Cricetulus griseus: one gene and its partner. The protein of the gene in region 1 interacts with the protein of each later gene in a biochemical or structural test. Links are inferred from orthologs where the notes say so. Each region holds a gene or a part of one and is shown in the gene's direction. Other genes may lie near its edges.

Evidence for each region.
Region 2: of the proteins of Cdk1 (region 1) and Rgcc, one has a biochemical effect on the other in vitro, tested with the Homo sapiens proteins (2 studies listed by BioGRID and IntAct). The link is inferred for Cricetulus griseus from reciprocal best matches to the Homo sapiens genes CDK1 and RGCC.

Annotation. Positions count from the first base shown.
Region 1 is NW_023276806.1:268,286,631-268,291,071, forward strand, and holds the end of Cdk1 (cyclin-dependent kinase 1), read left to right. Parts: intron 1-1,022; coding exon 1,023-1,186; intron 1,187-1,274; coding exon 1,275-1,416; intron 1,417-3,482; coding exon 3,483-3,581; 3' UTR 3,582-3,859; downstream 3,860-4,441. UniProt on the Homo sapiens protein: Plays a key role in the control of the eukaryotic cell cycle by modulating the centrosome cycle as well as mitotic onset; promotes G2-M transition via association with multiple interphase cyclins.
Region 2 is NW_023276807.1:233,634,835-233,638,980, reverse strand, and holds the start of Rgcc (regulator of cell cycle RGCC), read left to right. Parts: upstream 1-1,250; coding exon 1,251-1,428; intron 1,429-4,146. UniProt on the Homo sapiens protein: Modulates the activity of cell cycle-specific kinases. Enhances CDK1 activity. May contribute to the regulation of the cell cycle. May inhibit growth of glioma cells by promoting arrest of mitotic progression at the G2/M transition.

The DNA of each region.
Region 1 (4,441 bases):
GCTTTGTGAATGCTGCCTCATTTCCCTGCAGCTGGGATTGTGGTCTGCATCATTAGACTGGGTTCCTCTGGTGTTTGTGAAAGGGCAGTGACTTGTAAAGTGCAAGAACATTGACATCTGGGGAGTTGTGAACTTGGAGTCCATCGTGTCAGGTGGACTCCTGTCCCTTTCCCTCCTTGTTTCTTTTGTTTTTTTTTGAGGCAGGGTTTTCTGTAGCCCTGGCTGGCCTCAAATTCTCTGGATGGCTGTTGATGCTCGCCTTTGCCTCTTGGGTACGGAGGTCGTTCGTGTGCACTGCTGTGCCTGGGGAATGCAGTTCTGGGGATTAGATCCTACACATGATGCCTGACAGGCAAGCTCTCCACTGACTGACCTCTCAGCCCTACCTCGTTTATTCCTTTTTATTTGACACAGTTACTTGAATTTTCTTTGATGGCTATAACTGCTATTAACCCCATTAGTGTGGTTCTTAGAAGTCATAGCATCACTATTTTGATGAATATACTACTATGGTTGATTAGTTCTAAATCATTTGTTTTTTTTTTTTTGTGGTGTGTTTTATGCATGTTAATTTTAGCTGCTGTGTCAACATGTAAAAAACTCTGAACTTTGTACAGTACAATTCCTAAACCATTATTTATTAGTACTTTTTCTGCTGTAATTTTTTTTTTTTAAATATATCAGGCTTTAACTATTTTGTTGTTTGTTTTCGAGACTATAGGGTCTCACTATATAGCTCTGGCTAGCCTGGAACTCACTTTGTAGATCAGGCTGGCCTTGAACTCACAGAGATCTGCCTGCCTCTGCCATCAGAGTGCTAAAGTGCGGCGATTAGAGGTGTGTGCGATTAAGCCTAGCCAGGCTTTAGCTACTTTGGTCCTTCTACTTCGATGATTTGAAAAGCAAGAAGTTTATTTGTATATTGACTTAAGCTGCTAGTGAGGCCTGCAAAACTTTCTGAAAGACAAGCCAGTGAAGCAGCTGTATGTGGCATGTTTACGCTGTGCTCTGTCTTGTACCAGGTAGTGACACTATGGTACCGATCTCCAGAAGTGTTGCTGGGATCAGCTCGTTACTCCACCCCTGTTGACATCTGGAGTATAGGCACCATATTTGCAGAACTAGCAACTAAGAAGCCGCTTTTCCATGGCGATTCAGAGATTGACCAGCTCTTCAGGATTTTCAGGTAATTGTGTTTTATACCTAAGCTATTAAAAGCTTATAAGGTTAAATAATAAAGCACCGTGTATGTGATCCCATTTTGTTTCTTTCAGAGCTCTGGGGACTCCTAACAACGAAGTGTGGCCAGAAGTAGAGTCTCTGCAGGACTACAAGAACACATTTCCCAAGTGGAAGCCGGGGAGCCTCGCATCCCATGTCAAGAACCTGGATGAAAACGGCTTGGATTTGCTCTCAGTAAGCCAGCTGTGCTTTACGGTTTGAGTGTAGTGTGCTTGCATGTTCATAGTGAGTGACACAGGAGTGACTGAACATACTCAGTCCTGGAGGCAGATGTGGCGTTAGGTGCCTCTAAGATAGGAAGTGCTGGTGGTCCTGAGTAACCTTCAGGATTAGACTTTATCACTTCTCGATCGGCAGGTTGCTGTGGATACACTGCATCAGGGGCCAGGGCTCACACTCACACACTGTTTTAGTTGAGAGTGTGTTGCTGAATCCGAATGACTCCTTTCTGGCTGTTTTGTGTGTTTATCATTCTGCATTCTGTTGACAACTGCTTGATTTGATAATTTGAGTTATTCAGGCTTTTTACAGCGTAAACACCGTTTCTCAGGTCTGGCCTAAGAAAGGCTTGGAAAGACTAATGTAGTTTTTGTTTTTTTCCGTTACATTGCTGCACCCAGTTAGTTATTTTCTTTAAAAAATAATGCAAAGAACAGAATTACTGTTAAAACCTACTTTAGGGAATTTGTTGTAGGTAGAGCGGTATTTAAATTTTAATTTATAAAAGGAATCAAATACATACATGTTCCACTTCGTCTTTCAGCTGTTACAATCTATAGATTGTGTCACAGATTTGTCCAAGCTCCAGCCTTTATACATTTTGCATATTAATATCCTGGGCCCAATCTTCTGGTCATGTCTAAAGTTCCTATCTCTTGTTTGTTTATTTGTTTTATGGTTTTAGGCAGGAGGGGGTTCATGGATGGAAGGTAGGGTTTCCATGGGGGTTGGCCATGAACTCTGCTGGGCTATATCCTTAGCTCTCAAGTCTTTGAACATAAAAACTTTCACTTAACAAAAGTTAGTTCTGTACACCAATTTCCTCAGTTGAGCTGACACCCTGAGCTAGCTAATTCTTGCTGTGGCCCTGTCAGTTGCTGGACATTGTGGCAGTGTCATTGTCCTCTAAACTATCAGAAGACTGATGTGCTACAGTCAGCAATGTCTGTATCCTTGGCAGGCCCCTGAGAAGCAAGATTTCCCACAGATGGAAACCACTAGATTATTGAGTGGACTTGGCTTCAGATTTCAGTTTATTTCTCCCCACATTTACAGATGTGGGCAACTTTCTTAATGTCCTGAAGAGATGTGGTGTCTTCATCTGGGGAGTACAGCATATCTCTCTCCCTTTTGCTGTGAGGATTAACTGACATGTCCTCAAAGCCTTCATACAATTCTGAATGAGTACAAGAGTTTAATTGGTAACTAGTTAGCAAGTATCTGTAGGGCCTGAGGCTATAGCCCCGCCAGTGTCATGCCCAGCATGCAGGAAAACCTTGGGCTTGATCTCTAGCTCCATACAAACCTGGTGTGGCACCTGCCTATAATCTCAGCATTTGGGAGGTGTAGGCAGGAGGATCAGGAGATTCCAGGCCATCCTTGAATCACTACATTGGTTGGGGTAGGATGTTATTGACTTAATTTTCTCTGAAGATAATATGTGTGAACAAACTAAAATCAAATACTTTCTCTGGAGTTTATAAATTGGTTTACTGTAAATAATCCATCTATTGTAGCTGTGTTTATAAAAACACATCGTGGGTGTTTTCCTTTGGTTTGGGCAAGTGTCGTCTGGACACTATCATGAAACACAATAGTTGATCACCACCTTTTCAGGAATGTTGTGAATAACGGACGTGTAATTCTCAAGGTAGATATAATTAACTGTAATGTATGCTTTGTATTTACGTCTGTAATGTATTTACGTATTTACATTACGATAATGTATTTACGTCTGTAAATGTATGCTTTGGTTTTAAAGCCATCTGAGTGTTTATTTTATAATTTATAACAGAGGCTACCTGTTAATAATCTTATAAGTTATAACAGAAGTCTGAGTTTAGCATCTTGGAGGGGAGGGGTAAGAGGGCAGGCTTGGTAGTGAGCTGGTGAAGTTAAGATCCCCCTAAGCAGGCCCTCACTGAAATTACTAATATGGCTCACTGCTGGAAGAAGCTACAGCTTATGGGATTTTAAAGGGCTCATTTTCTAAGTTTATTTCTTCTTTTTTTTCTCTCCAGAAAATGCTAGTCTATGATCCTGCCAAACGAATCTCTGGCAAAATGGCCCTGAAGCACCCGTACTTTGATGACTTGGACAATCAGATTAAGAAGATGTAGCTTTCTGTGGAGTCCCTGCTTGCTGTGGCAGGGCCAGATAGTGGCATTTACTGTTGGCTCTCCTCCTGTCTTGTATATTTTTCTGTGGAGTCCCTGCTTGCTGTGGCAGGGCCAGATAGTGGCATTTCCCGTTGGCTCTTTTCCTATCTTGTATATTTTTCTTCTGTTTGTTTGTAAACCATCACCTGGACTTTTCTTAATTTCATACATATAACTTAATTAACATGTAAATATTATTCCATATGAATTTAAATATAATACTTCTGTATATGTGTAGATCTCACTGTGGTGACTGTTTGTTACTGTAACAAAAGTAGAAGTGTTGCTGCAAGAAACTGTGGAGACTTGAGTCATTCCAGACTCACAGCAGCTATTCCTGCAGCTGGGACCATGTAATCTAGGATCTGAGTTTAGCTTTCATGGTGCTTTGGAGTACCTTCGTCGTCTGGGTACTTAAGTTTTCTTGTCAGTTTCTGGCTGTATGGAAACTACCGTCTGCCTTCCGAGTGTTTTCTCTACTTGTGTTTAAGATTGGATAAGGCCCAAGATCTGAGCGGTCTACAGGGCTTTTAGTAACATAAAACCAACATGTAAATGTACCACAGTGGGCCAGGTTTTACAGCTAGAGACCAAGGGCTGTCCAGAGTAGAAGGACAGTTTCAGAAATTTATGAAGACTCGCTATTTTTAGGGTTGTTGTGAAAGCTGTTTGTCCAGTTGGACTCCTATGTAACTTAGAGGGGTTGCCTTGGTTTCCAAGTCTAACTGGAAAACTGCTTAAACTCCTTTGACAGTGTTGTTTATTAGCAGTGTCTAAAAATGTTCTTGTCCAAATATTTAGCTGAAACTACTCACTTTGGG
Region 2 (4,146 bases), on another chromosome or scaffold:
CGTGGCTGACCACTCTGTGCACACACAATCTTGTAAATTCCTTAGGAAATGGGGGGAAGGACGCGGGACTCTGCCCTCGTACAACCTCCCGAGGCCCTCGGTTCCTTTATTTTTGTAGCAAGCAAGGAGGCTCTACATTTGCAGTTCCTTTTCATAGATGAGGAAACTGAGGCTCAAGGAGGCTCGGGCAGACGGCGGGAAGCAGGATAAACTCTTGGAGGACTGTGGGGCCAGCAAAGACACTTCCGTGGGTCGGGTTGTCAGGGTGGCGGGGAACGCGGCGGGTAAATATTTGGGGCGGTAACCTGGGCTCCAGCGACACAAGTCGTCACTGCGGTTCCCAGTCGGCGGGCGCGTGGCGAGGGCGGTGCCGGGGTAGGGGATGGGGGAGGACAGGGGCGTCCCCTAAGTCGTCTGGAACAGACTCCGCCGCCGTCCCTCCCCGCCCCGCCCGCCCCGCCCCTGCCGGTGGCTATAAGAAGGTGCAGTTGGGGGTGGAGGCGCAAGCGAGGAGCGAGCGCTCGGCAAGGAGCGAGGCAGGGCCACCGGAGCGGAGCGGACTGCAGTGCAAGGCGGCAGCCACCAGGGCCAGCACCTCTCAGCATCTCTGCCACGCGTGCGGCGAGCAACCTCTCCATGAAGCCGCCCTCAACTCAGGGCAGCCCTGCTGCGGCCGCAGCCGCAGGTGAGTGCCGCGTTGGGGGTGCCCGCTCCACCTCTGAGCCCCGGGATCGAAGCTAGGGACTCTGTCCATCTAAGCTACACCCCGAGTCCCGGGGCCCCTGAGAGCCCGAGCCTGCAGGTGGGGCCGAGAGAACACCGGTCGCGACGGTCCCTTTCCACTGCCCATCCTTCCGTCCTCCGTCACCCCGGCACCCCATCCCCTGGTCGCACGGTCCGGGCCGGTTCCGTTTGTTTTCCCACGCGGGACAAGATCTGAGCCTGACACGTAACGGGTGCTCGCTGACTCAGGCTTCCCGCCGCCACTCGCTCCAGGGAGTGAGCGTGGGCACAAGTAGGAAAGCGCGTGGGGTGGGCTAGGTGCCTTCCAGGCTTTCAGCTCCACCCACGGAGGCTGCTGCTCGTCTGTGTCTGGTGACAGGCGCCTTGGAGGGCGGCTGTCACTGGGGGTGCAGTTAGCTATCCTAGTCCGGTGACCGCCTCTCCAGATCCCCCACGGGCTGGGGAAGAGTCACCCCCACGCACGCTCCCATCAACTGAATGCTCTGTGCCCGCCCCCAGCCCCGGCCATGGACTCAGCGGCTGCTGCAGACCTGACGGACGTGCTGTGCGAGTTCGATGCTGTGCTGGCCGATTTTGCATCGCCCTTCCATGCCCGCCACTTCCACTATGAGGAGCACCTGGAACGCATGAAGCGGCGCAGCAGCGCCAGCGTCAGTGACAGCAGCGGCTTCAGCGACTCGGAGAGTAAGTGAGGCACTGTTGAAGTCTGTGACCCCAGGGCTCAGGCTTCCTAGGGCTCTAGGTTAGCTGGGCTGTCTGTAAACTGAGCCTCGGTGTCCAGGAAACTCAGACCCGAGGCCCTGCACCGGCCCTGAGAAGCCCGGAGAGTTGACTTTCTGAGATTTAAACTCAGGAGTTAAACTCAGGGGATGGTGGGGGAGTGGGGGGGCATGGCCGAAATCATACGGGAACTCTTGAACGACTTTGGGTCTGCCTGCCATGCAGGCAGGTGTCTGCCATGAGGCCTGAGGGTTTGTGCAGTCGACAAGAACTCCTGGGACCCCAGCCAGGTCTTCTAATAGTTTACCCGCTTTTCTCCCAGCTCTTCATTTTTTTAAAAAAAAAAATTTATTGAGACCCTCCGGAGGAGACCTGTGTAGCCCAGGATGATCTTGAACTTCTGACCTTCCTTCCTTGGACTTCAGGATGTTGGGATCACAGAGGAGTGCCAGCATGTCCAGTATAGGCAGTCATGGGGGTTTCTTGCACTCTAGGTCAACCCTAAACCAACAGCACCCCCCCTTTCCTTTTCCAGAATGGGTGTTTGAGGACTTGGGGACAGGGCAAACACAATAATGAAACATTTGTGAAACCAAAATGATTTCATAAGCTGCCGTTTTTTTGGAATTTTTGAAATAACTTCATTCACTTTCTTCTGAGCTCCCAGGCTCTTTCACCACTCCAGGGGATTTTGAAACAATCCTCCCCCTGGACTGTTGAGTTAGTTCAGTTACTGTTTGATGCAGGCCCTCCCTCCAGGTTGCCAGTAGAGGTTTACCCTGGTAACCTTTTCCAGTAGAAAGCAAACCCGTGGAGTTGGAGTTGTATTTCAATAACTCAAATGACCTGCAAGATTCTGGATATTTGTTTAGGTGTCCAACAGTGAATTTGGAGACTTTATTGTTACATAATTGGTTTTCAAACCCTGGCTTACCCACTGGTTTTCAATGTGAATTTTAAATTCTGTTTATTTGTAAGCGCTTAGTCCCTAGATAGGCTGCAGGCGCAGACATCACCCCACTGATCCTGGGAGGAAAAGGCATGTTATTTTGAAACCTAGAGAGTTCTTCTTTTTGAAGATTCCATGTGAGACCTGCACCTGAGCTGTCCTCCTGGGAAGGGACATTGGCTGACATCCTGGTCAGGGTTTGAGGCAGAAACCTGAGCTCTAGTTTGATCTTCCATAGCGGCCTGCATAGACCACTGTGTGACTTAGGAGGGGGATGGGAGAGGGTGGGCGAGCTGTTCTGGTCCATTTACAACTTTTGCATTTTGATGCTACTGACCTGATTGCTTATTCCCAGCATTCCAAGCAAAGCCTTGCATTGGAAGTCAATACCTGTGGCATAACTTGAACATATCTCCTACCACTGGGTTGACGGACAAGTTATTCATCATGTATAATTGCTCTTCTTCACAAAACACAAGGCTGGGTCTGTTACTGCTGCACTGTGGCCAAGGACAGCTCCTTGCTACACCAGAGTCTCGTGCAGTTATGGCGGAAGCACCCACAAGTTCTGCCAGGGGGGATTTCAGATCTAGGATGTGTTTTTAGGAGTCTTAGAAAGAGAATGCACTAGAGACACTTTCTTAGCAGTTTGGGAGACAGTTGATAGAATTTGTTAATTTCCTTAGGGTATATCTGTGCATAGTTCACTGTCTGCTTTCGTTGTTAACCTTACGCTTTTAGTGTGGTGTTTGGGAAGTAATGGGAAGGACCTAAGACCTTGGTTTGTTCCCCGTGTGACTGCTCAGAAATAGTCTTGTTGGGATTTGTATGTATCTAAATAATGCTTTCTTAAGGACAAAGAATACATATGTCTTAATTGTCTCCAGGAATGGAGCACAGACATTTGTTAGTCTGTTTGGAAGAGGAGAATACCTGGGTGAGATGCAGCCCACTGAAACTTAACTCTCTAGAGAGGGCCCGCCAGGGTTATAATAATGGCAGCAACAGCTAGCTTACTTTTACCGAGCCCTCGCTAGGGTTGCTATAATCAAAATTTGTTTGCTCTTGTTATCAGTCATCTCTAGCTGTTCTTTGAATGTTATCACACATAATCCTTACCACAGGTTAGGTACTTTGATCTTCATCAATTTCTTTGATAAAATAGCAGACCACAGGCTGGCTGTCTATGGCCTTGCTCTGTCGTCACAGAATATGAACCAGAACTTGGGAGTAGCCTCATGCTCCATTGTGCTCAGATCATGTGTCTTTATACATGGTATTGCAGGTCCTTTTCAAGGTTTTCAGGATCAAGGGTCAGTGGACATAGGTGATGAATATTCCTGACTTTTGAAAAATACCTTTTTTTTTCCCCCCTAAAAAATTAGGTTGAGTTTGAGGCCAACCTAGTCTACAGAATGAGTTCCAGGACAAGCTCTAAAGCTACACAGAGAAACTTTTTCTCAACAAACAAACAAACAAACAAAAATTAGGTTACAGGACTAGAGATATGGTGCTGGGGTTAAAAATTGCTGCTTTTCAGCTGGGTGTTGGTGGCACACGCCTTTAATCCCAGCACTCGGAGGCAGAGGCTAGGTGATCACTGTGAGTTGAGACCAGTCTGGTCTACAAGAGCTCCAGGACAGCCTCCAAAACCATAGAGAAACCCTGTCTCGAAAAACCAAAAAAAAAAAAAATAAAAAATAAAAAAAAAATTGCTGCTTTTCAAGAGGACC